Nothobranchius furzeri: one gene and its partners. The main gene of each other region encodes a partner of the protein of the gene in region 4 in a complex. Links are inferred from orthologs where the notes say so. Each region holds a gene or a part of one and is shown on either strand. Other genes may lie near its edges. The genes, in order: cnot11, cnot6a, cnot1 and cnot2.

The links.
Region 1: cnot2 (region 4) and cnot11 share a complex: the UniProt entries of both Homo sapiens proteins name them as parts of the CCR4-NOT complex. The link is inferred for Nothobranchius furzeri from reciprocal best matches to the Homo sapiens genes CNOT2 and CNOT11.
Region 2: cnot2 (region 4) and cnot6a share a complex: the UniProt entries of both Homo sapiens proteins name them as parts of the CCR4-NOT complex. The link is inferred for Nothobranchius furzeri from reciprocal best matches to the Homo sapiens genes CNOT2 and CNOT6.
Region 3: the proteins of cnot2 (region 4) and cnot1 are in contact, whole or in part, in a crystal structure (PDB 5FU7), measured with the Homo sapiens proteins. The link is inferred for Nothobranchius furzeri from reciprocal best matches to the Homo sapiens genes CNOT2 and CNOT1. Residues at the interface, in NP_001186231.1 of Homo sapiens: Met350, Val351, Asp353, Gln354, Phe355, Gly356, Met357, Ile358, Gly359, Leu360, Leu361, Phe363, Ile364, Arg365, Gly372, Met373, Val374, Leu376, Ala377, Leu378, Gly379, Ser380, Asp381, Leu382, Leu385, Leu387, Asn388, Leu389, Ser391, Glu393; in NP_057368.3 of Homo sapiens: His1864, Ser1865, Ala1866, Ala1867, Arg1870, Asp1871, Gln1917, Pro1921, Ala1923, Pro1925, Ala2003, Tyr2036, Leu2039, Glu2040, Ser2043, Arg2045, Ile2048, Ala2049, Ala2053, His2054, Leu2079, Leu2084, Lys2086, Gln2089, Ile2090, Leu2091, Tyr2092, Lys2093, Gly2094, Leu2096.

Annotation. Positions count from the first base shown.
Region 1 is NC_091754.1:35,253,011-35,261,453, reverse strand, and holds cnot11 (CCR4-NOT transcription complex subunit 11), read right to left. Parts: upstream 5,034-8,443; 5' UTR 4,843-5,033; coding exon 4,524-4,842; intron 4,300-4,523; coding exon 4,135-4,299; intron 2,287-4,134; coding exon 2,134-2,286; intron 1,910-2,133; coding exon 1,707-1,909; intron 1,624-1,706; coding exon 1,421-1,623; intron 1,135-1,420; coding exon 1,038-1,134; intron 941-1,037; coding exon 743-940; 3' UTR 542-742; downstream 1-541. UniProt on the Homo sapiens protein: Component of the CCR4-NOT complex which is one of the major cellular mRNA deadenylases and is linked to various cellular processes including bulk mRNA degradation, miRNA-mediated repression, translational repression during translational initiation and general transcription regulation.
Region 2 is NC_091741.1:95,563,389-95,571,237, reverse strand, and holds part of cnot6a (CCR4-NOT transcription complex subunit 6a), read left to right. Parts: coding exon 1-81; intron 82-156; coding exon 157-261; intron 262-395; coding exon 396-464; intron 465-4,175; coding exon 4,176-4,333; intron 4,334-7,849. UniProt on the Homo sapiens protein: Poly(A) nuclease with 3'-5' RNase activity.
Region 3 is NC_091744.1:81,572,645-81,580,493, forward strand, and holds part of cnot1 (CCR4-NOT transcription complex subunit 1), read left to right. Parts: intron 1-2,883; coding exon 2,884-2,991; intron 2,992-3,148; coding exon 3,149-3,247; intron 3,248-3,507; coding exon 3,508-3,576; intron 3,577-3,734; coding exon 3,735-3,789; intron 3,790-3,882; coding exon 3,883-4,086; intron 4,087-4,204; coding exon 4,205-4,373; intron 4,374-6,285; coding exon 6,286-6,412; intron 6,413-7,636; coding exon 7,637-7,747; intron 7,748-7,849.
Region 4 is NC_091744.1:77,741,021-77,748,522, reverse strand, and holds the end of cnot2 (CCR4-NOT transcription complex subunit 2), read right to left. Parts: intron 7,325-7,502; 5' UTR 7,313-7,324; coding exon 7,199-7,312; intron 7,111-7,198; coding exon 7,041-7,110; intron 6,887-7,040; coding exon 6,739-6,886; intron 6,670-6,738; coding exon 6,487-6,669; intron 6,405-6,486; coding exon 6,325-6,404; intron 6,062-6,324; coding exon 5,936-6,061; intron 5,827-5,935; coding exon 5,702-5,826; intron 5,611-5,701; coding exon 5,493-5,610; intron 5,218-5,492; coding exon 5,061-5,217; intron 4,409-5,060; coding exon 4,347-4,408; intron 4,279-4,346; coding exon 4,229-4,278; intron 4,149-4,228; coding exon 4,048-4,148; intron 3,946-4,047; coding exon 3,801-3,945; intron 3,721-3,800; coding exon 3,634-3,720; 3' UTR 3,157-3,633; downstream 1-3,156. Other genes in the region: washc4 (WASH complex subunit 4), read left to right, coding at 1-39, 121-202, 1,595-1,659. UniProt on the Homo sapiens protein: Component of the CCR4-NOT complex which is one of the major cellular mRNA deadenylases and is linked to various cellular processes including bulk mRNA degradation, miRNA-mediated repression, translational repression during translational initiation and general transcription regulation.

The DNA of each region.
Region 1 (8,443 bases), on a different chromosome or scaffold from region 4:
AATGAAACCAATGTAGCTACTAGCTAACTTAGCTAATCCAAGAAGGGCTCCGGGGACCATGGTAGTCCACTTGCTCGGCCGACCGGCTCCCGTGTGACGCTGTAGTCATGCTGGCCGCCTGTGGAGATCTAATATGGACTGGGACTGTTAACACGCAGATCCTCAAACCGCTGCGATTGTAGCCGGGCACCGTGGCCTTTTAAATCAGCTCATGTTCCACGGCTGGAGATCAGTGGGACATTAGCTATATGCCAACCCAAAGCTAACAGGTTTTTCCAGACGTTTTTAGCAAAAAAAAAAAAAAAAAAAAAAAAAAAGTGACACCAAAGTAAAGGCACCTCTCCGGCTGGCTTAGTAACAAAAAATTATAACTAGGTAAGCTGACCGAGGACATCGGGCTTCGCTGGTCCACCGTGGTCCAAGATCTGTGGCCAGCTCTGGGAGAATTCATGAGAAGAGATTTTGTGTCACTGCTGAATCTAATCTTATCTAACCTAATCCAATCTAGGTCAATGGTTCTGAGAAGAAAGAAAATGAAACATTTATTTAAACATGTTGTTTTAATGGAAAACAACAACAAAAAAACCCTGGAGGAACATTATTTCTTTACATTAGAGCAGAAGAAGGTGAGGCTGTAGGTGGAGGGGAGTCCCAAGAGTTCAGTCCACATATGTACAGGATCTTCTCTGGCTGAGCGGCTCCTCTGATGACGGGAACGCTAGCAGTGTTGATCCATCTCGCTTTATTTGGCGGGTTTGACCTCAGACGGGTTTTCTCCTGTATCCAGAGTCTTAAGGAGGCGGAAGAGGCCGGCGGCTTCCCGGATGCGGCTGAATTCAATGCAGAAGGCCTGGACCTCGATAAAAAGGTCCTGGACGTTGATGATCTTGTTTCGGATCAGCGACTGGAGAAAGACACAGACCAGTCGTACCAGCCGGTTCTAGGAGAGACAGACATGGTGTCATCAGACCGGGATATTATAACGTTACACAGTTTACTGTTGTGCTGCTGAAGCTCCAGTCAGAAAAATCCGTTACCTGCATGTATTTGTCTTTGATCTGTTCACAGGTGGAGATGCAGTTGGAGATGTAGAGGTGGATGAACTCTGGGGGCAGGTCAACAGCTGTGGTCAGTCTGATGGAGGTGGGAAACAGAAACACAATGAAGAGAGTTAGAGCTCTGACCTCAGCCTGCTGAGCTGTAACAGACAATCATCTCATCTGAAGATGATTCAGGGTTAAAGAATCCATTCAAATATCAGGTCTCAACATAAAACACCGCAGAAACAAGTACAGCGGTAAAACACAAACCATGCAGGTCAAGAGTTGGAACAACGGGACAGTGACAGCCCCCCACACAACAGCAAGACCCCGTGTCTCACACAGGAAACTCACAAAAGACACTTTAGCCGAGCCCTCACCTGTTGACCACCTCCATGGAGTGCAGGGACATGTCCATGTTCACCAGGACTGAGAAATACTCTGTGATCTGGCTGCTCTGCATCAGCTTCAGCAGCATCTCGATGGCCACCAGCGGGTTGTTCTCCACCAGGTCCGGCAGCTTGGCCGGGCTCAGCCCGATGTGATAAACCAGCTTCGGATCCTTCTCCAGCTCAGCCAGCAGCTGCTTACACAGGTGGAAGAGACGGTGAGGAGGACAACCACGGTGTTTATATGATCCAGCGCTCCTGGGAGTCCAGGACCCACCTGAGACTGCTGCTGAGCTGACAGCGGGCTCTTGAAGGCCTTGGACATGATCCGTTTGATCTCCAAGCCGGTGCTGTTCTTCACACACATCGAGCGATCCCACTGGATGCTGTGATCCGGCTCGGTGGGGTTCAGCCACACCAGCTCATCCTCACACACGTGGAGAGGCGGCGGAGGCCGGATGAACTCGGGCCGGAAGTGACCTGAAAAACAAACAGGTGGTGATGCGTTCTGAAGCTGATGCGGTAACCATGACAACCCAAGCAGAATCTTTACACACCACAGCTTTAAGGAGCTCTGAACACGTGTAACTTCGTCTTGACCTTCCTTAACCTCCTCAGGCACTCGGCAGGAAGCGTGAATAAACAAACTCTAGGTTCTCCTAATCTGTTCTGAAGAAATAAAAGTGAAAATGAAGACCACTTACTCTCCAGGGGAGGCCGCGGTCCTGTGACCAGAGACTCTATGATCTGATTGGCTACGGAGCTGTCGAACCCTGAGTTGGAGGAGTCTGGGTCTGGGTCATTCAGGATGCTGGGGAAGCTGGCTTTACTCTGAGTGGGAAGCTCCGACTGGCGCTCTGTTAGACCAAGGAGCAGACATGGAAACGGGTCAGGGGCTGAAGGTGAGAGCGACACGACCATCCTGGTACGAGCGTGTAATAACGTACGTAAACACGCTCACCATCAACCAATGTTCTCACCTGACTTACAAATGACGTGTTAAACATTAGCTCCTTGTTTGGAGCAGAACTATACACGACGTAATGGTGAGGTGCTTAAAGAGCGGACATGATGAACCAGGACAATGATGATAAATGACCCACACTTATTTAGTGCCATGAGTCAGAGGACTCCAAAGCGCTTTACACTACAGTGCGTCATTCACACACACGTTCACACACTGATGGTGATGAGCTACAGTGTAGCTACAGCTACCCGGGCGGTGAGCCGGGACAACCCTCTGATTACTGGACAACCCGCTCTACTTCCATGTAACATGTTTTATACGTGTTTTGTGCTCGATCAGCGCCTCAACTCGAAACGCATCCAGCTCCTGGTTTTATTTCAGCGGCTCTGGCCCACAGTTGCTTGTTTGCAATTCCTTTTCTGATGCTGGTGTAGGTATCAGATCCGCTCAGGGACCTGCGCCTGTTGATGACATCACACCACAGCAACACCACTGGAACAAACTACATTGCAACTCATTCTTTAACTACCTAAGTGCTAAAAACAACAACAGACTCTACCAACAAAACAGCTCATATATGTGATTGTTTTACACTGTATTATTAACACCTGCAGCTGTTGGTGTTGAATTCTTCTACTTCATTTGTTTGTATCCTGTTCATGTGCTGCAAACTGTCCAGGTGTCATCTATGTTTATGTCTATGGTGTGTGTGTGTGTGCTGCAGCACACGATCACTGTGAAAGCAGGGAGAGGGATGCCCAAAATGCCTGGGACAATTATTACATTAACTGATGGGACCTGTCACTGATTAGTTTAGAGATAAGTTTCTCAGGCTGATAAAAAATAAATCATCTCTGAGTGACGCGCCGCTGCCGTACACTCTCCCACAGCACCGCTGGAGGGGACTAAATAACCATTATGCAACATATGTGGGCGACGGTGGCACAGGAGTTAAGTGCTTGCCCCATAACTGGAAGGTTGCAGGTTCGAGCCCCGCTCAGTTTGTTGCTGTCGTTGTGTCCTTGGGCAAGACACTTAACCCCCCTTGCCTGCTGGTGGTGGTCGGAGGCACCGTGGCACCAGTGCTCGGCAGCCTCGCCTCTGTCAGTGCGCCCCAGGGCAGCTGTGGCTACGTCGTAGCTCATCCCCACCAGTGTGTGAATGGGTGAATGACTGATGGCGTTGTAAAGCGCCTTGGACTCCCAGGACTCTAGAAGGCACTATATCAAATACAGGCCATATTTTTACCATATGTTTCGATTTATTTTAGATTATAAGTGCACCGTATAACTCTTAGTCAGTATTTGCAAAATATTTATATCAAGTTGGTATTAAGTAGGCTTAAATAAGTTAAACCTCAGCCTGAACCGGGGGTAGGCAACCCGTTAGGTGGGTCTGGATGGAGCGAGTCTGGTCTCGAACGGGCGGTGTAGTGTTCACGTATAAATCCGAGCGACTTCTCAGGAACGCAGAAATCCCCGAGCCTGTGGGCGGTGATTAATACGCGCGGGAAAGTCCGCGGTGTCCTCCATAATAAGGTAAACAAAGGCGGGCACGAGCTGTGTTGCTTTTGGAGACTCTGAACCACATTAGTTTATTAATTTTCTGTGTGTGTCCTCATAATCTTATGCCACACACACACATATGCACACACTGCTTTCTCCCCTGAGCAGCTGTCTACTCACTGGGGCAAGAGCTCTGATGCAGAGGACAGGCACACACACACACACACCCCGACCTGCTAATGCGAGCTGCAGCCCACTGATGTCGATGGGCTGGGGCATGTTGGTGATGTCCATGCAGGACACCTGTCTGGGTGTTTTCTTGAAGAGGTCTCTGGGTGGTGCCAACATCAGCTGGGACAGGAAGAACTTCTCTGGCTGGGTGATAGGCGGCAGGAAGCCTGAACACAAAATCACCACAGGTAACAGGTGGGGCTGAATTCATCTCCTTAGATACGTAGATTTTCAGTAAATGTGCAGGAGCAGTATTAGCAACTTGTATTTCCTGCCATTCCTCTCATAGACGTATGGGACTCCATCATGGACTTTGATGTGTTTATATTTGTGTTACCAGTATACAATGGCAATGAATGGATTTCATTAATGCCGGATTATTTAGTCCTACCGGACAGCGCCTTCTCCTGCTCCTCTCCTGCCGGAGCCGGGTTCAGGACGTGGGCAAAGACAGCAGCGAACGGGTTGGCGGCCAGGGGCTCCGTCCGGTACATCTCCCACAGCAGGTAGAGGGCGGTGAGCCGCTGCGGGGAGCTGGGCAGCAGGTCCGGCTGCTGGAGAAGCATGACTAGCACCGAGCCCACCCGGAAGTGCTCTGCTTTGCCAAAGTAATGATGGAAGTGAGTGGAAAGAGTCTCGAAGGAGTTGGAGCAGGCCTCCTCCGAGATGATGCTCAGCAGGTTGGACAGTTCCTTCGGAGCTAGGCTCATCGTCTCCTCCGGTTCTGTTCAGCTGCGGGGAAGTTCTGCTCCGTTTTTAAAACTAGTTATTGTTGGAAAAATACCGGGACAAGACGTGCTAATCCATGGTTGTGAAGTGAATCAGAAAGTCAACGATATTAGCATCCTGGAGTTGTGTTAGCCTCCACTTAGCTTAGCTTAGCGTTTTCCAGGACTCAGCTTTTGGTCTGACTTATTTTCAACAATAATTGACTATTTAACAACAAAACAATCTTAACGAACAAGCAATTAGCGACAAAATAAACTCCAAAAGCAATATAAGTGCCTGTTATGGCTGTAAAAGTAGGTTCTTAATGTGCCGCACTACCCGTTTAAATTTCTTGTGACCTTTACCTCGAGGTGCACTGTGGGTAATGGAGTTTCCACGTGTTCCTTCGTCTGACCGAGCAGACTCTTCTCCGGCTGTTAAACATTATAGAGCTCTCCCTGCTGGAAGGAGTGCTCCAGTGCAGCCAGACCTCCTCCTCCTCCTCCTTCTACAGCCAGCCTGGTGGCTCATGGAAACCCAGACCTGATCTACAGCAGCAACCACCTGGACAGACAGATCCTCCAGGCCTTCAGGAGCTCCCAGTGGGTTTGAGAACTGGAACCTGTGGCGGCGGCATGGATCCCAGCTGCTTTACTTTACAGATTAATGAGATTTTCTTGTAAATGTTTGTGTTTATTTGTCGTTCTTTGGGATGACAAGTGGCTCTGTGCAGCTCTGGACTGTTTGGACTTCCTTCCTGACCAGCCGGTGGTGGAACTGAGCAGGGAGCTTCATTTCTGCTTCCTTCAAGAAAAGGAGAGCTGCGACCCAGAACCAGCAGGAGGAGGCAAGTCCTTCAGTCAAAAGAGTTGTGGCTTTGTTTTAAAAGCACAGCTATGATGCTTTTTACATTATAGTTATTAAAATCGATGCATTTGAGGAAATGAGTAAAACAAACGTAGGAAGTTAAATCCAAAGAAAATATGAAGCTCCAAGCTGTTGGCTAAAATAATAATTTTTATTAATGTTGCAGGTGATTTTTATATCATTCTGGTAGTGAAATGAAGGGAGGCTGTGATTATTTCCTATAAACCACACTCAGATGGGTAGCTATGTTCTTGTAACTAGGGATGTCCCCTTCCGATATTGGTATCGGATATCGGCCCAAAAAAACCGTATCAGATTATATCGGACTGCATCAAAAATCTCCAATATAAGCAGTCTGTTCTGCTTTAAATTCCATTACAGCAATTCTATCCAGCAGCGTCCAGATCCAGCGTGCAAAGTCCACGTGATCAGAAAAGTGTTTGCTAGCAAGGAGCAATGTCGGCCATCTGGCAGTAGTTTTTGTTAAAGTCCAAAAAAGACAGTTTGGCTCAGTGCAACACTTGTCATGCACAAGCTTCCAAAGATTGAACAGAACCGGGGAAGTTTTATACGTCGTCCCCCCTCGATGTGCATTTGAATCAGGATCACAAACCATTACGTGAGGATTTTCGCTGTGTGTAAAATTAAACTTTAGACCGGGGGTATGCGTTTCTGGGACAGGAGGTTCGGTATCCTGCACGTTTTAGTGGTTTCTCTGATTCAACACACTTGATTCACCTGTGCAGCAGCTCATCAGGCTCTGCAGAAACCTTTTAATTACCTGCTGATTAAAATCAGGTGTGTTGAAACAGTAAAAACTAAAACGTGCTGGATACCGGACCTCCAGGCCCAGAATTGAATACCCCTGCTTTAAACACAACTTGTAGCAGTTGGTCAGCGAACAATATTGTGTTTTTTTCCTTATGTCTCTTCCCTCAGCTGTTCACATTTATGCAACCAAAGGTTATTAAAAAGTCACTTGATTAAGCCTTTTCTACATTCCACAATATGAAATAGGTAAAAGTGTGTATGTGCTGATATCATATCGGATTGATATCGGTATCGGTCAATACTGAAGGCTGCAATATCGGTATCATATCGGAAGTGGAAAAAGTTGTATCGGGACCTCCCTACTTGTAACCATATTTAAACATAATTTCTTTTATGTCCTGAAAAGCAAAGATTTAGTAACTCTGTACACCCACCATGAACCCACCATAGTCCAGTTCTATAAAACAAACTGGACTATGGAATGATCTGCCCATCTCAATCCACCAGTCACCTGTTGTGGTTTTTAAATCCACTTTAATGATCTGGCTTTTAAGTCATGAATCTGAACTGGGTTACATTTTAGCCTTTAGAGCTTTTATCAATATTAATTGATCCACGAATCACCATTGTGTAATATTTTAGCTTTATTTAGTGTTTTATTAGTATTATCTGGTGTCATTGACTGTTTTAATTGGCCGATTGGGCGTTTTTTGTTTTATTTTCATGTTTTATTCCGTGTTGTGATGTCTTGTTGATCTTGTATAATTGTTGTACATGGCGCTCTACGCACCATGAGGAGTCCTACTTATCCTGGAAAAATAGTCTTGTGCTTTATAAAAATAAGCCTCGACAAACTAGAACTGCTATTATTAATAATAATAATCCTAAATTTCTTTTCAGTACAGTTGCCAAACTTACACAGAATCATAGCTCTGAACCATCTATTCCCTTAGCCCTCAGCAGCAACGACTTTATGGGATTTTTTACAAGTAAAATTAATTCTATTAGAAACAAAATCTTTAGCATGGGGTGGGGTGGGGGGGTGGGGTTGTGGATGCCCAATTATGTCCCCCTCCTAAAGTAGGTAGTTGTGCCCCGGTTTGGATAAATAGTTATTTTGTTTAATTTAGTCGTTATTTTGTTTTTGACTTTCCTCATTAGATTTATTACCACCATTTGGGCTTGTTTAGTAAATAGCCGTTGGGTTTTGTCTTCTTTAAATCTATTGGATTTTGTGTGATGTTGGGTAAGAATCTGGTTTTAATTATTCTGTTTTGGTTTAATTGGTCATTTGCTTCAGTACCTCCCTGAGGCTTATTTCCTCAGGTGTTTTAAGTGAATCCTTTAGTCATTTGCATGTTTTGTTTATACTTATTTTGTTTAACCAAATAAAAACATTGTTTTTCTCCCTTAGTTATTCCAATAAGGACTGAGAATTTGTGTTTTGCCTTTTGTTAATAAAGCACAGATAATTTTTGTATGTCTCGCTCTCACATCTACTCCCCTCTGCACAGCGACTTTCACCCTCAGGGGTGTAACATGAAGGCTAACAGACTTTATTAACCATTTATTCCAAAACACTGACTTAGATGACACTTTTTATTCATGAAAATTACAACATGCTTTTGTAAAACCTTACCAAGATGGCACAGCACAAGCTGCAGCCAGTTACAGCAGCTCTTACGTCTTTTCTTTCTTTTTTATTGTCTGCTTGTCTTGTGTTGCATGTTTTTAATGCTGTTATTGGGGGCACATGTCCCCTGAACCGCACCATCCACAGGAGGACTTTTTAGTGATTTGTGTAAAATTTTTTTACTGCTTTCTAAACTTGGTGGGAACGCACTGGGAAATTCCTCCGGCTCCATCCATGAACCTATTGTTTACACCAGGGATCAGCTGTTGGCGCTGTGGACACCGGCGCTCATCTCCACAGAAGAGCCGACTCTGCCTCCAGAATTAAGGAGG
Region 2 (7,849 bases), on a different chromosome or scaffold from region 4:
TGCTTTTAAATAACAACCAGTTGCGAGTTCTCCCCTTTGAACTGGGAAAACTGTTTCAGTTACAGACACTGGGGTTAAAAGGTGAGTGGCTTCAGTCCTCAAAGCCCATTTATTTATTTCTCTGCTGTTTTTACAGCTGATTTCTGTGTTTCTTAGGAAACCCACTTGCACAAGATATTATGAGCCTCTACCAGGAACCCGATGGCACACGGAGACTGCTCAGCTACTTGTTAGACAATCTGGCAGGAGCTATCAAGCGCAGTGAGTATCAGCCCTCTGCCGTCGTTGTAAGGCTGAACAGGAATTTCAGCTTTCCTACGCCTGGGAAGAGAAGAGGATACTGGATAGGAGAAGCGTTTAAGGGCTTTTACTGAACCGTCTTTTCCTCCACACAGTACCAACCGAGCAGCCCCCTGCCCGATCGTGGATCTCTCTTCAGGAACCCGACCGAACACGTCCGTCAAGTAAGAACACCCACCCACACACACACACACCTCCTTTCCTCTCACAGAAGTAGGTTATGTTTTAAATATATTTAATAGTTATTTAAGTTTTGGCTATAGATGCAGGAGAGGATGTTTTCTCAGCACTGTTCTGAAGCAGCTGGAAGCGATTTGCAGGCTATACGGTTAAACGCCTAAATACAAGAACGCTAGCAAACATTATTCACGGTCAGTAAAGCTAATGCAGATATTTGATTAGAAGATTTTATCGCGGCAGTAAATAATACCCAGAAGTAGTGATAGTTGTAGTAATCTGTTTTATTCTGAGTATGCAGTTCCATTTGTAAGTATTTTAAATACTAAATAAAAACAGAAAAACAAAACAAGTATAAGAATCAAAGAATGACATGGTCAATCACAAACCTGAAAAGGGATCAAAAGAAGCACAAACTTGCTCACTGCCACTTCCTCATCAGACTTAACTAACCTAAATCTTCCTCATCCTCTTCTGTTACTTTATATCTGTGTAAATGTTTGCACAATGATAATTACAATTAATAGTTTTATGTGTATGATGGTACAGGTGTTTGTGAATAGTATACATACACCCGTACCATCATGATTGCACCCGTGATATTCAGAAGCTTTTTTCTAAATATTTAGTAAAAGCTGCTTCTTTTTCACTGATCCGTCATTAAAGCAGCATTATGTAAGAGTTCCACAGTGAAATAATGTTTGTTTATTTATTTAGCAGACGCTTTCATCCAAAGCAATGTACAACTTATAACCTATAGGGCATGTTGTGATCTGTGGGGGAAACCGGAGTACCCGGAGGAAACCCACGCATGCATGGGGAGAACACGCAACTCCACGCAGAAAGGCTGTAGCCGAGTTTCGAACCTGCAACCTTCTTGCTGCAAGGCAACAGTGCTAACAACTGCACCACTAGGCAGCCCAAAACAGTTTAATGTCTCAATCACACTGAAAGGAAGGTTACAATGAAACAGATTTAATTCTCCGCTGGCTGGGGTGTTGTCAGATTTTCTCCTTTAAAAAGACAAAACAAAATGGGGACGTCACTTAGAACCTGCCGCACACGAGAGCCAACTGCTGAGCAAGGGGCCTCGAATGACCGTTCGCTCAGCAGATACCTCGCTGTGTGCGCATTTTCCACCTCACGAGACGCTGAGGTGAATATCTGACCCCCTCGGGGGGGTAAAAACTCACCGTGTGCGCACTAAGTGAGCTGCTGGCTGAGCTGAAATATTCTAGTGGCCAATCAAAGCACGTTCTCCACTCACATGACCCCAAGATGGCAGCCCCTTGTCTGCATGTCAGAAAATAAACAAAACGAAGACGTAGCTGGAAACGGAGGAAATACCTCTACTTTTTTTGTTTATGAGGCATCGCCACCACCGTCATTTCAAGGTTAGGATAGTATGTGTACGGTGGCTGTAAAGCAGGGCCAGGCAAGGAGTTTATACCAATCTACTCCAAGAGATGTGTCTTGAAGACCCAGAATGCTTCCGACAGTACCACAGCCTGGATCCTGAATCCTTTGAGGGGGTAGTGGAAACAGTGGGCCCATCGATCTGCAAGGCACTGTTTCGTTTATTTTTCTGACACTCAGACAGGGCAGGGGCCACATCTGAATACATCTTGGAATCATGTGAGCAGAGAATGCGCTTTGATTGGCCACTAGAATATTTCAGCTCAGCCAGCAGCACACGTAGTGCGCACACAGCGAGTTTTTACCCCCTGTGAGGCGGAAAATATCAAACCGGTCAGATATTCACCTCAGCGTCTCGTGAGGCTGAAAACTCTTTGAAAATCAGGCGCACACAGGGAGGTATCTGCTGAGCAAATGACCATTTGAGGCCGTTTGCTCTCGTGTGCAGCAGACTTTATTCGGTGAGTTTGTGAGGTTGCCAAGTCTGCAGTGAGCTAACCCAGCATCCCAGGCATTTGTAATTCAACACAGTGCTCCAGAGTTGTTAAAAGAACTGAATAAAGCCAGTAAACAAGTGCGACCCCTAAGAAGCTACTGCATCCTTTAGTTGTACTCTAAAGCCCTTTTCAGACAGACATTCTGGAACATTTGCGGACAATTCAATCCGGTTTTTAACCGGAACTGTGTTTTCAGACACACCACTTTTGTACCGGAACTTGTCCTTTCGGCTGCGTTCACACAGCAGGGAAAAGTTCCAGATGTCTGACGGCGGCGGGGGGTGGTGGTGGTGGGGGGGTGATCGGACTCATGTTAAGAAGAAGAAGAAGAAGAAGAAGAAAATATCATTTCTACAGCGCCTCTCAAGATAAAAATCACGAGGCGCTTAAGCATAATTCTGCGCACACGAAGACGCATAAGAGACCTGGATGATGAAGCTCAATGGTTAAAGGAATCACTGAAGCGGTGTGAAGCGCTCCCTCGCGCGTCTAGACGGTACCGTAGGAGGCGAGCTGCCGTTGATCGCCGCATGCTACAGCAGCGGGCTATCTAGGTGCGCACAGCGTCCCCCGGTCCCCTCCTCCTCCCCCTCCCTCTTGTCCGGAACTTTACCTCACCAGTCTGAATCAGCCACCCTGTCCGTAACAAGTCCGGACCTGTTACTAGGGGCTTCGTCCGGATAAATTCCGGAACACATTATCCGGATGTTTGTATTCAGACAGAAAGGTCTTACGGACAGATTCCGGAACATTTCCGTTTTTCATGGCCTGTCTGAAGGGGGCTTAATGTTGAGTAAAGCAGGCTAGAGTTTATTATTGAGCTAACAATGCTAACGATGAATAAGGAGCAAATAGTCAGCTCAAAAATATCTCAAGCTACTTTTTCAATTACCAATAACTTGATGTTACAGTGAAATGTATGTGTGAAGTGAGTAATTGAGTTTTTCTTCCTTTAATGAGTTGCTCAGAACTTTTAACGGCAGGCTAACAGCAAGAATGCACACAACCACACTTCCTGTAATAACTGAAACAAACTACCATAATAAGTGTAGTAAGTGCTCCCTGCCATAAAACACCCAGGAATGCTAACACCAGATATGACAATGTATTCATCAACTTATCCACTTTCTGTGTATGACTCGTCTTCGCTCGTCATCTAGAATCTTCTGGTGCTCGTCATTAAACGGCAACAGCCATGAAACTCACAGAACGGCAGTGAGAACGTGATGTTTTTGCCAAAAAAATGAACCCCAGTACCCACATTTGTCCGCTAGATGTCATTCTTACAGATTGCACCTTTAAACATTCCTTCAGCCCCTCTTAAATGATTCTTCCAGACGCAGATAGAAAAGATGTCGGTGTGTAACTCCTTAAATTTGAAATATTTCCCCCAAAAATGATAACCTCCTTCTCCTACTACAAATATTTTGAAACTACAAATATTTTTTGATAATATATAGTATTTTGGTTTAAATATATATTGTACTGTTTGTAGTTTTAACCGTTTTCATTCTAAAACCAGCGACGTAGTGTGATCTCTGTAACTCTCGTGGTAAATGAGGACGCTGCACCGATGGGGTTTCATGATGAGTCGAAGTCTTTTTCCTGTGTTTTGGTTAACTCACTGCTACTGATGGGTGGAACTAGTAATTTCACCAAATAAAACCCATCTGATTATGATTTAATAACTAAAGCAAGACAACGCCTTAGAAGGGAGTGTTTAAGGTTGCTGTCAGCTTCAGAAACACGTGAACGAGTGAAATTTTTCCTGTCTGTGTTCCTTAGCTCTCTTCTCGGTCATGTGCTATAACGTGCTGTGTGATAAATACGCCACGAGGCAGCTCTATGGCTACTGCCCGACCTGGGCTCTAAACTGGGAGTACAGGAAGAAGTCCATCATGCAGGAAATCCTCGGCTGCAACGCAGACATCATCAGTTTGCAGGTAAGATAATATCCAAGAATTCATTAAGACTTTGTAACTAGGATTACAAGATGTTCATAATGTGATTTTTAGTCAAATAAATGTTTTATGGACAGTGTGTTGGCAAAACTGTGGCTTGTTTTGCAGCTGCTTGTATTGTAGAACGATTGATCAAAGTGTAATCATGTTCAGTTTGATCAGGGATCAAAGGTCAATATTGTTTTATTTGTGCTTTTTCTTTTTTTTTGGGGGGGGGGGGGGGGGGTCCATCAGTTTCATTACGTTGCCAAGAATCAGGATTGGTTCTTTTGTTTTGGTAAAAGCACTTTGGGTTTCGGATTTTTGACTGGTGAGGAGGGGGTTTCCTGGGGGGATTAGATGTTTTACACCATTTTTGTGTTTCAGTTCCTGTCTGGCCTAGGGTTGTCACGGTAACCGGTGTAGCGGTAAACCCCTGTAAAAAAAGTTGACAATAATGATAACCGTCTTGTTTTAAAAAAAACTATATTATCTCGGTGGATTACCGTGGCTGCGGTGTAGGCGCGGTGACCCTTACCAGCCACCGTATCATCTGCTGAAGTTGCCCGTGGGACATGCGCACTTTGTTGTTTACAACCAAAACTTTCTTGAAGCTAAAGCTGAAATAATGGCCAAAGGAGGAGACGGCAGCACTCAGGACATTTATTATCCCTCAAAGAAGACAAAGTCGGAAGTATGGGCATCTTTTGGATATTTGAAGAATGCTGAGAGACAGTTGATAGAAGACGGCTATCCGGCAGCAACACTTCAAATCTCATGACACATCTGCGTGACCATCACCCACAACGCTACAGTCAACGAAAGGCAAGCTAACGTTAGCGTTTTAGCTAAAATGTGTGATCCGAGGATTTGGGTTGAGGGAGAATGAAACGAGTCGCTATATAAAGCAGCCGCACCGCCGCTACCTGCATATAAACCGTGTCGCGGACACCGCCATATTGAAATGATGCTATGCATTACGGGGCTCCCAGGGGCAGATAAGAGTTGGTCTCTCTCCGAGAATAATTATGAATTTAACAACGATTACTGCCTGATGACATTTTCCCAAATCTGCAAAGCTCACTGGAAGGACACAAACCGAGGACAATATTTTCCTGATCTAGGGTTTATTACTCAAGTAAGGGTAAAAAGTATCTGATTAGAAGGCTACTTGAGTACTGAGTATCATCTGATCTAATATTTTTAAAATGATGACATCAAAAAGACATAAAATAAGAAGTTATGGGCAAATATTGGTATTTTCAAGACTAAAGGGGAAAAATGTAAACAAATAAACAACATAATTACAAAATAACACATTTTAGGCTAAATTTAGACACAAACTGAGGACAATATTTCCTGACATACAGGGTTTTATTTAATTGTGTGAAAATGTAGCACGTTTAAAAAAAAATACCGCAATAATACCGAAAACCGTGGTAATTTTGGTCACAATAACCGTGAGGTTAAATTTTCACACCGTGACAACCCTAGTCTGGCCTGGTATGAACTGCTGAGTTTGAAGCCTTCTCAAAGAATAGTGTGTAAAAAATAGAGTCGATGCACAAACAGCGTGTCCCTATGTTTCTGTGATGCTTACAAAACGCGATTCTTCACGGCTGGTGGAAACATACCATCCACTATAACGGCTACTAATTGCTGCTTTCTGTGTTTCGCTCTGTTTCAGCCACTTGATTGGTCCAGCGCAGAGTAGTGACGGTGTGAAATTTTAACCTCGCGGATATTGTGACCAAAGTTATCACGGTTTTCGGTATTATCGCAGTATTTTTTTTAAACGTGTTACATTTTCAGGCAACTAAATAAACCCTGTATGTCAGGAAAATATTGCCCTCAGTTTGTGTCTAAATTTAGCCTAAAATTTGTTATTTTGTTATTATGTTGTTTATTTGTTTACATTTTTTCCCTTTAGTCTTTAAAATACCAATATTTGCCCATAACGTCTTATTTTTTGTCTGTTTGATGCCATCATTTTAAAAATATTAGATCAGATGATACTCAGTACTCAAGTAGCCTTCTAATCAGATACTTTTTTTTTACCCTTACTTGAGTAATAAACCCTATATCATGCATAGCGTCATTTCAACATGGGGGTGTCCGCGACACGGTTTATATGCAAGTAGCAGCGCTGCGGCTGCATTATATAGCGACTCGTTGCATTCTCCCTCAACCCAAATCCTCGGATCACGCATTTTAGCTAAAACGCTAACGTTAGCTTGCCTTGTGTTGACTGTAGAGTTGTGGGTGATGGTCACGCAGATGTGTCATGAGATTTGAAGCGTTGCTGCCTTTCACAGACACTTTTTCTGCACGTGCTGCAAACAGGATAGCTGTCTTCTATCAACTGTCCCTCTGCATTCTTCAAATATCCAAAAGATGCCCGTACTTCCCACCTTGTCTTCTTTGAGGGATAATAAATGTTCTGAGCACTACCGTCTCCTCCTTTGGCCATTATTTCAGCTTTAGCGTCAAGAAAGTTTTGGTTGTAAACAACAAAGTGTGCATGTGCCACCAGCAACTTCAGCAGATGATACGGTGGCTGGTAAGGGTCACCACGCCTACACCGCAGCCACGGTAATCCACCGAGATAATATTTTTTTTTTAAAACAAGACGGTTATTATTATTGTCAACTTTTTTACCGGGGTTTACTGCTACACCGGTTACCGTGACAACCCTAGTCCAGCATTGGTAACGCTTGATTTGATTGGTTGTTCATCTCTTCTCTATAACAATGTTGCTATCGAACCGTTCTCATATGCCTGCTATCATTCCATCGCCCATCCTATAGTGGTAATTTAGTTCTGTTGTTGGCAACTTCCTGTCAGGAAAATCAAGTTATCTGACCCTGCAGAAAATGACACAAGCGCATTATGATGAGAAGAACACCAACTGTTTTTTAACCTTGCAGCTGTAGGCTTTAACAATAATGCCAGTATAGAGGTCCACACATGTAAAGTCCAGGTTTGATCTGTGGGCTCCTGCTGGGCTAGAGAATGCAAATGACTTATGATAACATCCTTGGTTCATGTTTCCATTTGTTTCACCAGAGCTGTATGCTGAGAAGGCTCTGTGTCTAAACTTCCTGTTAGGCCCCAGCTCAGAGATTTGCATGTTAGGATTAGGGTCTGACCGATATATCGGCCGGCCGATATTGGGGTCATTAACGGTATCGGCTATCTGCCAAAAAGACTGCCGATATGACCGATATCGCACTACCTATCCAGCAGATGGCGCCAGCTTTATGAACTCATGTTGTGTGGCTCTACTCCTTAGAACTTTGAACACAAATTATTGTTTTGGAACTTTTTAAAATTTATTCTTATTTATGTTTCTTATGTGCAATTATTTCCTGTCCAGGGTGAATAAGTTCACCAAGTTAACTTCCACAGAGTGTTACTTTGTTACAAAGCACAAGTATTACGTTTTATTTGTTGCTGCATTTTTATAATTTTAATATTCTTATAGGGATCTTCTGTCCCTAAACTTGTGTGTGCTGTTAG
Region 3 (7,849 bases), about 3.8 Mb from region 4:
TAATCATGATTAACATTTTTGCCATAATCAAGAAGCCCTAGTGTTCTGTAACAAATTGTTACAATACTTTCGCCATTCATAAACGTTGTTTTACATATTTACCTCTTCGCTTGTTTCCATCATCGACCTATAAAATTATGGACGTAGCCCATCCTTGCTCTGTCGGGGGAGGAAGTTGAAGCCAAAAATGGGAGGTTCCCACCAATGATTTTTTTTAACCGAGTCACGCTCAGACAATCCAAAAATGGGAAGAGGTCGAGCTGAGGGTGGGGTTGTTACGTTAGGAACAGGGTTGGAACAAATTAAACAACTCTAGCTAACTTAGCTAACCCAAGAAGTTAAGAAGGGGACAGCGGGGCAGCCCACCCGCACAGCCGACCAGCTTCAGTGTGAGGCTGTATTCTTGCTGGTCGCCTGTGGAGTTCTAATATGGACTGGGACTGTTACATTACAAGCAGAGCCAGACCGCTGCGACTGGGAGCCCTAGCCTTTCAGATCAGTTCATTCTCCACGGTCGGAGATCAGCGGGACTTTAGCTACATGCTAACCAGAAGCTAAACACGTGGTAGAACGACTCCAACGTGAAGTCACCTCCGGCCTTCTTAGTAACAAAATCATAACAAGGTAAGCTGACAGAGAATATTGGGCTTCGCTGGTCCTCCCTGGTCAAAAATCTGCGAGTCCGCCGTTGTCAACACACGCGGCTCTGGTACTCGGCTCACGGTTTCGTGTTCCGCTCTCAACCAGAGACGAGAACAGCTGATCTTTCACCGCAGTGGACCAGCAAAGCCCGATCCTCGGTCTGATATCCAGCAGCCACACCAACACATTATATTTCAACTGATTTCAACCCCTTTTAGACCAAGCAGTGTTATGGTAAACACATTGAATTTTCCCCCATTCAACCAAGTCAAGTTTATTAAATAGCCCATTTCATACACAAAACGGTAGCCCAATGTGCTTCACATAGTTAAAACAATCACAAGTTAAATTTAATTGTTAAAATGTCACATCATGTTGTGTAAAATAAAAGCACCAGCAAACTATTAGAGATAAAAAAATGCGGGTGAGCGACTCAAAAGTAAAGCAGCATCAACTACAAAAGCTGCAGTGTTTCTGTGATCTCCCTCAGAAATCCACAAATGACCAGCATGACTACAGCCTGTCATCGGAGCTTTTCGTGCGTCGGCGGCCCCGGGGAAACGGGAACAGCCAGCCGCCTGCTCTAGCAACTCGTCTCGGGCAGGAGACAGAAAATGGGCATCCGCTTGTTTCTTACCCCGGGTTTCCACGGGAGCCGTCAGCAGCACGTTACTGCAGCAGATCTTGCTCGCGTAAGCTGCTGCTTGGCCCTTCCCACGAGACGCGAAGCAGCAGGGGAGCAGCTGTCACCGACCGAGCACGAAGTCACACGAGTGACTTCGTCAGTAAACACAACAACAAGCAGGAGAAAACTACAACATGGTTTGTGTTTTATGTTCTGTCCGTTTTATAATCGCCAATACGGACCTGAAAAACAAAGGAGACCGCTAGCTAGGTGATAACTTCTCACGGGGCCGCACAGTTAGTAACTGTTTTTAAAAGTAAAGCAACCGGAAGGCAGTACGTTCTTTATTCTGAAAATCTCGGGAGCTTCTCCCCATTTCCGCGTTCGATTTCCTGTCTTTCCTTCCCCAAAAATGTCGAACTTGACCCGTTTCAGAGGCGTCGCGCGTAGAAAATAGAACCGGCGCGTAAAGGCCGCGACATGCTGCTCCTGAGACGCGGCCGACTCGCGCTGCTGACGGCTGCCGACGGCTCTAGTGGAAAAGGTTCTGTTGACCACAGCGGTTCCTATGAGAAGCTATGACGTGCTGCTGCAGTAACGTGCTGCTGACGGCTCCCGTGGAAAGCCGGGGTTATCCAGCAGCAGCCCCACTAACATGTTTGACCAAGTAGTTAATGACGCAGCATTTCCCCCCATTCAACCAGCTAATTAAAGTACAGAAATATAAATTTACTTACTGATAAAATGAAACAGAAACTGCTTGGATGACCTGTTAGTGCAGTCAACAACCACAGCTTGCCCTTTATGTCCAAATAATTCCATGATTAACATCCAAACTGAAATATTAAACACAGCATTTGCTTTTCTGTCTAAAAGGTCCCAAATGGTTCATGTCATCTGATTCTTCAAATTTATTTTGATATGTTTGAGATCATCTCTCCAGTTTTTTTTTTTTTGTTGTAATCCCATGACTGTTGGTGGCTAACGCCCACGATGGGTTTAAGAATCCTTATCAACAGTTTGATTCATCCGTCTTTAATTAACTGGGAATTGGTTGGGCAAAGGGCAAAACAAATGTTTCTGTTGTACTTCTTCCAACATTACTCCTAGACTGAGGTCTATATAAACTGACATTCAAGACACAAGTGGACCCACTGTTTTGACCAGTTAACCATATTTCTGATTTTAGACCGTGGAGAGGCCTTTTAAAGGTTTGTAGTTTGAATGATCTTACCATACTACTTAGAGTGCTTTTAACACGCCATTACAGCTGACCAAATTAATTAATAAAACAATTCAAGTTTATTTGTATAGCGCCAAACCACGACAAGAGTCGTTTCAAGGTACTTAACATAGTAAACATTCCAATACAGGTCAGTTTATTAAGCCAATCAGAAAACAGTTTCCTATATAAGGAACCTAGCAGGTTGCATCAAGTCACTGACTGAAATAGGCAGAAATATTCACATAGATCATAAAAACAGTTGGAAAAAGCAAGGCAGTGAAGCCAAACAAACAAATTGAAGCCACATTTTACTAATCCACAGTTTTAAAACTGAACATCCCATGTTGGAAGGAGGATTACAAAGTCTTGTCTACATTTTGTGCCTTTCCAGATTGTAAATCGTCACGGTCCTGAGGCAGACAGGCATCTACTACGCTGTCTCTTTTCCCATGTGGATTTCAGTGGCGATGGTAAAAGCAGTGGCAAGGACTTTCACCCGGTAATTTTTGATCATAAATGTTTGATGGATGTTTCTAATTATACATTCATTGCTTTATCCACTCTGAGAACAGACCTCTTTTAGTATGATAATACTTATTAAGTTCCAGCTTCATCTGTTTGTGCTCTTTCTTTTTCTCTTTTTGTTTTTTTGCAAGACACAGTTTCTGATCCAGGAGTGTGTTTCGCTTATATCAAAGCCAAACTTTATTGCTACCCTGTGCTACGCCATTGACAATCCCCTTCACTATCAAAAGGTAAGATGTTGTTGATAGAACATTGGAATGTTTGCAGATTGAACATCAAGTTTTACTTCATGCATGTGTGCACATCAGTGAAATGAAATAATCTTTCTTTTTGTCCACCCCACCCCCACCCCCGGCTTATTAAAGTGTTCAACAGTTCTGTCTCGATAATGGTGTACCCGTCTCTATGCAGAGCCCTGCGTGCTTTAGGGGTAAATAAAGGGGATTAACTTTTAGCTTCACAAAGACATTTTTCTTATATTGTCTTCCAGAGTTTGAAGCCATCTGCCCACCTCTTCACTCAACTGAGTAAAGTCCTTAAGCTCAGCAAGGTCCAAGAGGTAAGTCGGCTCTGCGCTGAGATTTTATCATTAACCAAATTAAGCAAGCGGTTCCAAATTATGTAATGGACTGAAAATTTGTGGTTTTTTGCCTATACAATAGTTGAAAATAGTAGTTTTATTTATTTCTTGTTTTCCTAATTTGTTTCATTTTCTAGGTAATATTTGGCCTTGCTTTGCTTAACTCCAGCAACACAGACCTTCGTGGTTTTGGTAAGTTGCCTTGTAGAGGCTGACACATTTTAAAGACGCTGCAAAAAAACAAGTTTCCACTGGGACTTTAGTTAAGAGGAGTTTGTTTTGCAGCTGCACAGTTCATCAAGCAGAAACTTCCAGACCTACTGCGCTCATACGTTGACGCAGACCTTGGAGGAAACCAAGAAGGTGGCTTCCAAGACATTGCAATAGAAGTGTTGCACCTGCTGCTCTCCCATCTACTGTTTGGACAGAAGGGAGCCAGTGGGGTGGGACAGGAGCAGATTGACGCTTTCTTAAAGACACTTTGCCGAGGTATGATGTGTTTAATCAGGTGGAGCTGAGTCAAACTGAGCTTGCGTGGTATTGAAATGATAAAAATCACTCCTGGATGTCTAATCTGTACCACACCTCTGTGTTTGCTGGACTCTAGATTTTCCCCAGGAGCGCTGCCCTGTGGTGCTCGCACCACTGTTGTACCCTGAAAAACGGGACATTCTCATGGACAGGATTCTACCAGACTCAGGAGAGTTAGCTAAGACCATGATGGAGAGTTCTCTTGCAGACTTTATTCAAGAAGTTGGCTATGGCTTCTGTGCTAGGTGAGTTTAAAAACTCTTCTTGTTATTTTTTTTTATTTGTCTGCAGTAATAAATATTTACAGTTAATTGTAGGACAAAAATATTTGATGGTTTTAGTGTTTGATTGTGAGTGCATTCATATCAGCACAGCTAAACCACTACCAGCTCTCAGAATAAAACCACTACCAGCTCTCAGAATATGGATTTTGAAATGCTGATTTATTGTAACTGAAAATGTAGAGTTTTCATAACTAGATGGTTTAAATGTCTGACTTTAGTTGTATTAAAACTAGGGGTGGTACTTTAACACATTAATTATGATTAATTAATTGGGGGGGGGGATTACTCGTTAAAAAAATTCACGCATTTAATCTAGGGATGCAACGATAACACTTTTTTCCAAACCGATACGATACCGATAGTTGGATCTGAGTACTCGCCGATACCGATTACCAATACTGATACTTCTACCACACACAAAAATGCAATGATTTGGAATAGATTTTATTTTCTTCTTTGCTTTCAACAGGAAAAGACTGTGAGGTAGATAAAAAGTAAAATATATGAATGGAAATCATCACAAAACTAAAATATTAGGTGAACAGAAATGACAAGTTACAGTGAAGCCATTTTCAAGCAACTGCATTGGTATCGGTTAACTTTTACCGATACCAATACTGTTATTGGTATCGGTACCGATACCAGTATCGTATCGGTGCATCCCTAATTTAATCAGAGCTTGCATTTCAAGCAAGGTAAAACCTTTGTCATTGCGTGATTTCCTGGTAGAGCGAGTGTCACTGATGCACACAACAACGCACAGAGCTCTGCTAACCCCAAAATTCCACTACCTCCGCCCCTGCCTTCCGCAGCCGCTCGCTTCCGAACTCAATTTTTACTGGTATCCGCTCCGGTGCGGAGACCTAAGGTGCGCAAACAGGCATGCGCAGGATTTTCGAGATCTTGCGATACAGTCCGATCAATAAACGCGGAAGTTAGATCCAAACACCCGTTGTGTGGGAGAAGCATCGAAATGAACTGTTTAATCTGCCCATCATTTGTGTAGAGAGATCAGCAGAGTTTGGATCAACAAAGGGTGACTACTTTGATAGAAGAAACTGTATTTATGGCTTATTTTTGTGCATTTAAAGTTCAACCGCCATTGATAGTTGTTAAAAGTTGTTAAACCTGTGCATATGAAACAAAAAACGCTTTTTGTTTATCGATTTATTGTGAAATAACGGAAGTTGTGCTTGCTCCCTTTCCTGTTGGGCGGTTGTGATTTTTGTCCATTGACTGCGGAGGTGCTCCGGCGTCCGGCAAAAATAGAATCGATCCTATTTTTGCCGAATGGCGGGCGGCGCACTGCGCTGCACGGCCGCAGTAGTGCATCAGCTCTGATTGACTACAACGGGACCGATTTTGCTGCGGAGTTCGTGTCGGAGCGAAGCGGAGATAGTGGAATTTTGGAGTAACAGCTACTAAAATGGAATTATTGAAGAAATTGGCTTGCTTGGACTGCTGCAGTATTTGGAAAAACGTTTCGGCCTCTCTTTTTCTACTTCTTTTATATTTCCGCTACGTCTGTCACTATTAGCAGTGTTTTTAACATCCTTTCTACACCCACCATGTCCTGAACACGGTGAAATAAGCTTTGGAGCATGTGTGATTCACATTAAACACACAGACTCTGTTGCTGCGCAGCTGCAGCATCCCTAATGTAAATCTTTGCCAGTCGTGTAAAAAGAGCAGTAAATAGTTTATTATTGACCTGCTGGTTAGGACCCCAAAGCATAATACATAACTTTGTCTGGCTACTAAAGTTTTCAGAAGTAACTGGAGATCAAAAGCGCAGTTTAAAAAATATTTTGTATATCATAAAGCACACGTGTTTGTGTTAAATACGATGGAATGTGGTTGTGTGTTTCTGCAGTCTGGATGAATGCAGAAACATAATCCTCCAGTATGGTGTGAGAGAGGTGACAGCCAGCCAGGTAGCCAGGGTCCTAGGAATGATGGCGCGAACCCACTCTGGGCTATCTGATGGCATTCCGCTTCAGGTAAGGCTAAGCTGGAACTAAAGTCCGGTATCTACATTTTATCAACATAATGTTATTGCATCACCTGTTTACGTCGCTTTACCCTAAACTACAAGCTACAAACACAACAGACTATGTCTGGTCTTAGATTTACTCTACTATGCAACTCGATGTTTTTTCACTACTTTCTTGCTTCTGTTTTTTTAATGTGAAGTACAAAGTAACTTCCTGCTTGTGACTATTGTTTATAATCATTCTCCTGAATTTCTGACTATTACATCTCTCTGTTACTCCTGTAGACTCCATGATTATGTTAACAATGGGCTTACATGCACAGTTTAGTTCAGAAAAACAAGCTTTTATTTATATGATTTTCAACATTTTTATATAGTCAGTCTTAATTTTATTAACAACCTCAGTTGTACTCTGCATCCTACCGAAGATCTTCGGACCTGCGCCTTACCGGCTCCCACAAGATCCCAGTTCCTGTTCAGGTCTCCAGTAACGAGCTATATTAATTAAAGCCTTGTAAAGGTCCTATGAGGGTTTCTTTTTCAGGTTATCCGCGGGTCCTTAAAAAGTCTTAAATTTGCTTTTTCAAATTTAAGGCCTTAAAAATCCTTAAAAATGACAAATAATCCTTAAATACAGTTTCCAAAGGTCTTAAATGACCAAAGACCCAATAAACAAGGTATTTTTATTTCTATAAAATTTTCGTGAATTTCTAGTTAGTGTTCAGCATTTTATGTGTATAATATTTGCATAAGCGGAACTGTACACATTTGGTTGGTTGTGAAAGGGGGCTATTTTTAGATGAGCACATTAGCTGGTTAAGCTAGTGGGAGCTTGTACCATGGGGAAGTGCAAGTTTAATGGTAACTGGATGGCTAATCTCACGTTCGCGACATGGTTAGCACCGGTTTCAGGCAATAGCTGGAAATTATAGCTTAAATTAAATTTAAATAAATTGCTTAAATTTGGTCAAAGTAGCCTTAAAAAAGGTCTTAAAAAGTCTTAAATTTAGCTGTCTTAAACATGCAGATACCCTGTTTTTGGAAAATAGCATTTAACCTTTAGCTCTTGTACTTTACTCTTTTCAGAAGACTGTTTTGTTGAGAGAGTTAAAAGGCCCAGCATTCTGGGGATGAGCACTCTTTGCAAGACAGGATTCTTTCAGTCATCCACTCATGTTAATGGGCTTCATATGTTTAGGGTATAAATACTGAGTTGTGTTTTATGCCACAGTCGATCTCCGCCCCAGGAAGTGGTATCTGGAGTGATGGCAAGGATAAGAACGACGGTTCTCAGGCACATACGTGGAACGTTGAGGTTCTCATTGATGTTGTCAAAGAAGTGGTAAGTGATGTGACGTTCTCTCAGTTAGCCTTGATGTTCGGTTCATGTTTCTCTCTGTTTGGGATTGGCTTCTGCACAGTCACCAGAGTTGGCCAAGAGTCT
Region 4 (7,502 bases):
ATGAATCTCACCCAGAAGAGGCTCGACTTCTATCTGCGGGTTCGTCTGTTGTATTTCAAATGTGGAGTAAAATATCTTAAAGAATGTGAGATTCTTTATTTTTTTTCCTTTTGATCCCAGGAGTTTGAGCTGCTTTACTTCTCATTGAGCAGCGCACGGATCTTCTTCAGAGCTGACAAAACCGCAGCCGAGGAAACTCGAGGTTTGAGATGCAGATATTTTGTCTTTAGTGAGGATTTAGACTGGGCATCAGAAGTTACAGGTGTAAATCACTGAAAACCCTTTTTTTAATTATTATTTGTGATTAAAATAGGTCACTGAGTTTTTCATGCAGGCTGAACATGAAAATAGTCTACACTGATCTCCTGCATTAGCTTCTGGTGGAAAATAGACGGTGAAACTCTAGGATTAGAAAATCCTGACAGATCTACGTCACACTGTCACATAACATTCATGGACTCACCCATCTTGACTCAAGATGGGGAAGGTTGTTGTTGGTTTAGCGTCCAGGAAACGGCAGAGAACGTCTCGGTCGGTAGAAGCTAACTGTTAGCATTAGCGACTCCGCCACATGGCAGAACTCCTTCTAGCTTGTGTTATTTGTGGAGGTAAAACATCCACATTGCAAGTCAGTGGCAGAGTTGTGTAGTGGTTATCCAATCCGGGGCGAGATGTCCAAATACCAGAAAATAAGACTTCAAAACCTGCCGTCTGAAGCTCAGCTGTGATGTGGGTTGCTGTTAGTTCCTGGAAATGGTGCATTTTTTTCCCCAGCAAGAATGAGTTACAATGCATTAATTTCTACTAGAGCAGCAGTAGCTCAGGTGGTAGAGCGGGTTGCCTCATGATCGGAGGGTCATGGGTTCGATTCCAGCTCCCGCCAGGGGTATCCTGCTATTGTGTCCTTGGGCAAGACACTTCACCCAACTTGCCTGTGTTAGTGGTGGTCAGAGGGGCCGACGGCACCAAATGGCAGCCTCGCCTCTGTCAGACCTCCCCAGGGTGGCTGTGGCTACAAGTAGCTTACCATCACTAGCAGTGTGTGAATGTGAGAGTGTGTGAAAGCGTCTTTGGGTGTCTAGAAAAGCGCTATATAAGTTCATTGCATTATTATTATTATTATTATTATTATTACTAGAGACCATTGCAGATGTATTAACTCATTCACTGCCAGCCGTTTCTGCCTGCCAGCATTTTTGCTGTTAGTTGAAGAGTAACAGAATATTGTGCTCTATGACCATGTGAACACCAAAAAACAGAGTAGACTCACTTCTTACATCAGGAAAAATCTGTGCTTGTTGCTTTTTCTGTTCTTTCACAATACATTGGCCAAGTGTGAGCGGCAGAAGCTTCTCCCGTTGGCGCCTCGCGCTTTTCACAGCAGCGTCCCAAAACAATCTCCTAGTTCATGTATTTTCTGCTGATCACGTGACGTGTGGCACACATGGATGGAGATCGCCTTTAGAGCTGTGATGTTTACTCTCAAGGCGCAGGAGCTCCTTCCAAAGCCCACCCCATTAAAAACAGTAATTAAATGTAGTGAATGAGTTCAACGAGTGAACCGCACCTTCAATGCTTTTATGTTTTTCATCAGAGGATGCTGGGAAAGCGGGAGTTTCATCGGAGGGCTCCACGGCTCCTGAACCACCCTCCAAGTGAAAACCTTCCCTTCTGACTGGATCAGAACTATTAAAGTGTTGCCGGGTAAAAATCAGCCTGCAGCTAAAGCAACACAAACTGCACAAAAGATTTCAGGATGAAGAACTGGAGAGCGCCCAGAGAAGCTGCTGGGTGTTTTTATATCCCACAAAGTCATCTCCAGAGAAGATTGTAGTTTAGTTATCAGCTGCAATATCTGCTATTTTGTAAAGTTCCACTTCTGTAGCAAATCGTTTAAGGTTTGCCTGAATGTTTTCCTAATATTTTATGTTTGTGCCAAATGTAAGTGCTGTTTCTTTTAACATTTTAAACACTGAATAAATGTGGGTGCCTTATGAACTGTGCATCATTTTGATCATTCGACTTAACTGTACTCTAAAGTTAAAGATGGTTAAGTTTTAGTTTTCTGCTGCTTTGGAGCCTTTTAATATATTTCTTTGAATGTGTGGAAACATTAACTTTGTCATTAAACCTTTTTATTCGTAACAAAAACGTCCTCGTTTTTTTTTTTTTTTTTTTTTTTAGCGACCTGAGAATTTTGTGTCGAGAATGTTGTTGAAATTTGGTTCGTTTGTGAAAATGCAGCTTTTAAAAAATAACACCGGTCTAATGAATGTAAAATATCTGCATAGTGGTCGTGATTTAGCTCATAAATAAAAAAAAAACTTTAAAATCTCAAAAGTAATAAACATGACACGGTGGTTCAGGAAAGCCTGTTCTGCTTTAATACAAAGAAAAGAAGCGTTTCACTTAAAATAATACAAGATTGGGTTTATTTTTTCCTTTTTTTTAGCAAATTGCCAGTTTATCATTTCCCTATGAAATGTCCTCGTTCATGTCTGTTCAGGTTAAATTGAAATGCATCCCTTTTACTTTTAACTTTTTTTTTTTGCCAAATGTTGAGAAGTCGGCCTTTCCATGAAGGAGTTTGTTTTTAGGTAAGTATGGCGCCAAACGGCAGCAGATCCAGAACATTTCTGTTACATCCACATTTTCTTTTCCATGTTCATCTCATTAAAAAAACCGAGGTACAAGGCAGGGCTTTTTTTTTCTCCAAAATAGATGTCATATATATATATACACATACATATATATATATAGCAATCATATATACACATTCATACATACATGTACTAATTTGTGTGATGCAAAGAACAAAAATGTACACTTTTCTTACAAAATCGTAACAAAGACTGGAAAGTGTTTGTTTGCTCTTGAGCAAAGTTGGTGTTAAAGTTCAGCCGCGGCGAGAAATCCTCCACAAATGTAGACTCTCGTATTTCTGTCCTTGTTTGGTCGGCACAGAAGTCAAAAGACGGAGACGAACGGAGAAAGAAGGAACAGAAAAATGGTTGGTAGTGCAAATACAGACGCTGGAGAAACGATGGATACAGACAGAGGGCTAAAAAAGATGGAATTAAAAGGACTGCATGAGGGAATGATGCGTAAACTCAAGAAATACAGAAAGAAGGGGAAAGAAAAAACACTCGGGGAGTGTTCATATAAAAAAGCACAAAAAATTTTGTGTTCTTTTATTACTAAATATAGTGCAACAATAAACATTGCATTTCTTTCACCCCTTCACTTGTGTATGAGAATGCTAACAGCCTTGTTTTCCACCTGCTTGTGTTCTTAACACTTGCTGTAAATAAGAGGTGGAACCTCTGTTCTGTCCCCGTCCCGTGCCACAAAGTTAGTCCTCCTCGCCGAGAGGACGCAGGCTTCTGATTCAGAGACGTAAACAAAACACAGACCCTGCTCAAAACAAGAGAAAGGAAAAAAAACAAAACAACCTGAAACACAGAGTAATAAAAACGGAACAAGTGTTTTGGGGTAGAATTTAAGTTCAGAAAGGCAGGACAGCTTTAATGGTGATCACAACCCCTGCAGTCTAACAGCCAAATCCTGGAGGAATAAAAACCACAGCGCCGGTGCTGGGCGTCAGCTCTGTGTGCAGGAACAGCTGCTTGGGCCTCAGAAGGCCTGCTGGGCTGGATTGTAGTTGAACGTCGTCGGAACGTGAGGCCTCTCTTCTAGCTTGTCGTACTCCAGATGAAATTCCTGAGAGATTTGGGCAGAGTTTAGACTAATCCACAACCAGTACAAAAAAAAAAAAACACTCTCAACTTAGCAGGTCTTACCTTGGCAACTTTCCTCCAGTTAAGACAATCAAAGAAGTAGTAGGTGCCCCTCTCGTAGGTGTTGGTCTTGAGTGTGGGCTCCATGCCGGGTGCTCTTGTTATCCAAACCCGCTCCTCTTTGTGGTACCTCCAGTCCCGATTAAAGCTGGAGACGGGAGAGTAAGAGAATCCGGATTCAGTCCCTGAGAACATCACATCTCCTGATCCCTCTCGTTTTGGATGTTCGGTGTAATAAAGGCCTACTTACAGCTCTACTGCTGCCAGGATCTGTAGTAGATCGCCACCATTCATGTAGTACAGGTAGAACAGCAGGTCTTCACCATACCGGGCCAACTTAATCGCCGCCAACTAGAGACAAGACGGTAAGGAATGTTAGTTTAATGCTAATAAAAGTGTAAAAGTGCTATAGTCGTGCAGCTGTGCATCACCTTGTCCCTTATATGAATGTTGGTCAGATACTCCGAAGGAACGTGGAAGTCTGGAAGCACAGGTACAAGTTACGCTGTTTGCCTTTTGAGTTAAAGCGGCACTGACAATCTGTCTTACCGATGTCCTGAGGTCGACATGGTGACGAGGCCCAGGGAGAGGCAAACTTGGGGTACAAGTTTCTATTGAAGAGAGAAGGCTTAAAATCAGGAGAAGCACACATCCTTAAAAACAAAAACACTTTGCTCTGGACCCCCAAAGCTTGGTTTACGCTTGACGCATTCACTTTCCACGCGGTGATGCGGCTCGCGGATGGAACGCGCTTCACAACTCGCAGCGTGTATGGTTCATGCGGCTTGTCTCTGCGGTGAGCCAATATTCTCCCAAACTGAACGGAGCAGCGTGGAGCTCTAGGCATGCATCCAATACTACACCATAGAAGTAAAAATTACTGTTTACAACATGGCATTCCAGCATTTTTAACAGCGTCCTCGTCTTTTCCGACAGTGCGAGCTATTTCTCTCCAAGAATTTTTAACAACATGTTGATCACGGTGATCTCTGAGAGCTGAATCATACAAATGTCTGTATTTACGAACCTCTGCCATACTAGTTCTTGCCGGTCCGCCATGTTTTTCCGCGTCCGTCCGTCCACGTGGTTAGAAATTTTCCGAGGTGCGCGTTGCGGAAATCTTGACCCGTGCGGAGACGCGGTGGAGGGGCGTGGTTGTTAAAATGACGCAACTTCTCCGCGCGTAGTCGTACGGACCTCGCGGACGCGTCAAGCATAAACCAACCTTAAAGGCGAGCGTTTCTGTGGAGGAACAGCTCTTACTCTGGTGAGTTGAGATTGAGTCCCAGCGTGGTGAGGTCATTTCCTAGCGCCAGATGGACCAACCCCGGATCGGTCTCCGCTGCTCGTATAAACGTCAGCAGACCGATCATCCCAAACTGATCCGTCACCATTCCTGAGGGAATGTTGGTAACCCGACCTGCAGCGGCAGAACCATCCAGACTCAGTAAACCACACATCTACCGATGGACTCTGATCTACAGCAAATACTCACTGTGGAACCAAATCCTTATTTCTAGACTCATTTGTGCACACATCGCAGAGCAAACAATTACACCGTCTCATAGTAGCTTATCCAATACTGATTTAACCCAAAATACAGGGGAGAGAGCCCAACTGCCTCACCCAAGCTGTGTGATTAAGAAGGGATGTCTCAGAGGAACTGGAGCGATACGATTGGCTGTGAAGTCTCACCATCTGGTAACACCTTGATGCCTTTCTTCTGGTTGTTGTTCTGTGCGGAGGCCGTCTTGTCTCCGGGGAACTTGGGCCCATCTGTGCTGGACGTGCTCTTGTTTGTGGAGTTCAAGTTCTAAAAACGGAGAAGAGAAACATAAAACTCTGCGGGAAAGGTTCCTGATCGGCGCCCCGACACAAACGCAGAAACGAGAATGCTCACTTACAGTTTTACTGTCGTCGTTGTTCAGTGTGGTGTCCTTATAGTTCGACCCAGGCAGCGCAGGAAAGTCCTCGTTATGGATGGAGAAATCTTGTGTCTGTTCAGTTGATGGCTTTGTCACCATGCCAACTTAACGATTTCCCAGAGTAAAACAGTCACATAAGTGACAGCACAACTCCAACAGAAGCAACTAGTTCCACTGCTGAGATGACAAATCTTTAGGGGATAATTGGCTTACCGTATGGAGCACGTCCAGCTAGCGGGTTGGACACCGGTGTTGGATTTCCCGTCCCTTCCCGTCGACTCCTGTCTGCTAATGCGGGGAAGTCTGACAGATCCAGTCCCATCACGCTGTCGCTCCCATCTGCAACAGCATGTTAACACACTCTCTATAGTAATACGTACTAATCGCTACTGCAGCAAATAAAAACCATACATTTTGTCTTTAAGATTGATAAAATGCATACATTTATTCTTTTGTTTTCATTTTTGTGCTGCTCAGATTTAAAACCAGACTTTAACATAAACACATTCTACTGCAGAGCCAGCAGTTGTTCACTAACTCCACTGCAACATGAAGCTCCGTGACACTTTGCAGCCTTTCGAAATTCAAAAGAAACTACCCACCTGTGCCGTTGAAGATGTTGCTTGCTAACGCGTTGTTCATCCCAAACGCCTGATTGCGGTTCATACCAAACCCTGACATGCTGCACGGAGAAGATAAAAGACCGGTTCTTCAGCCGGTGTCCACAGAGGGATGTTGATAAACGTAAGGATTTTAAAATCTACCTGCTTATGGTGCACAGCTGACGTGACGGCTGCTGTTTGGGCATACAGATGATGCTAGGTGAGCTGCGGTTGGGGCTCCCGAGTCCTGAGCTGCTCATACTATTGGTCCTGCTGCTCAGCCCGATGCCTTGACCAACCTGAGAGTGATTTAGTATGTTCCTGGAACTCATCGGTAACGTGCCTCTGCAAAAACACATTTAAGAATGAACATTTTGTTGCAATTTTACAATTATTAGTAGCAGAAACACAAACCTGCTCGGCGACGGCGGGGTATGGAGTGACATGGTGGGGACGCCTGTTGTTGGGGTGATATGACTTGGTAGCTGCGACCCTTGCGTGAGATTTCGGTTTAACTGAGGTGTGCTGTTTCCCAAGCTTCTAACGGGGAAGCCAATTGCACCTGGACAAAAAAAAGAACCAAGTTAATCCAAAATAATATTAAATAATCCAGACAGAATTCTTTGCATTGTATGATCAGTCCACGTCTACTACTGATCTGTAACAAATGTGAAACTAGTTCATTCTGTGGTACAAATAGAACAGCAAATACTAACTTTGTGGACCGTACAAACTTGGACCGAGCTGTGACAGCTGACCAGACGACGGTGAAGGAGAAGACAGTATCTGGACAATAAGATTCACAAACAAGAAAAATAATCAGAAAAACTCCCCATCAGATAACATGACCACACAGAAATATGACGAGACTTACATCTTTGTCGGATCGATGTGGGAACATCGACCCCTGGCTGTAATACATTTCATCTGGGAAGTCATTGTCGACGGCCTCGACGAACTCTGGAAATTTCTTTCTAGCACCAAACATGCCTTTTGTCACCTAAAGAATGAGGGAACTTTAGTAAAGGTGGAGACTAAAGGGGGCAAAATAAATGAGACAAGATCATCGAATTAACAACTGGAGTTTGGAGGCCAGATTAACTTCTCAAACTCATTTTTTAAGATATTCCTGAGCCCTGTTTGTCGATCTCTTTCTCTGGCAAGCCACGGCAACTTGG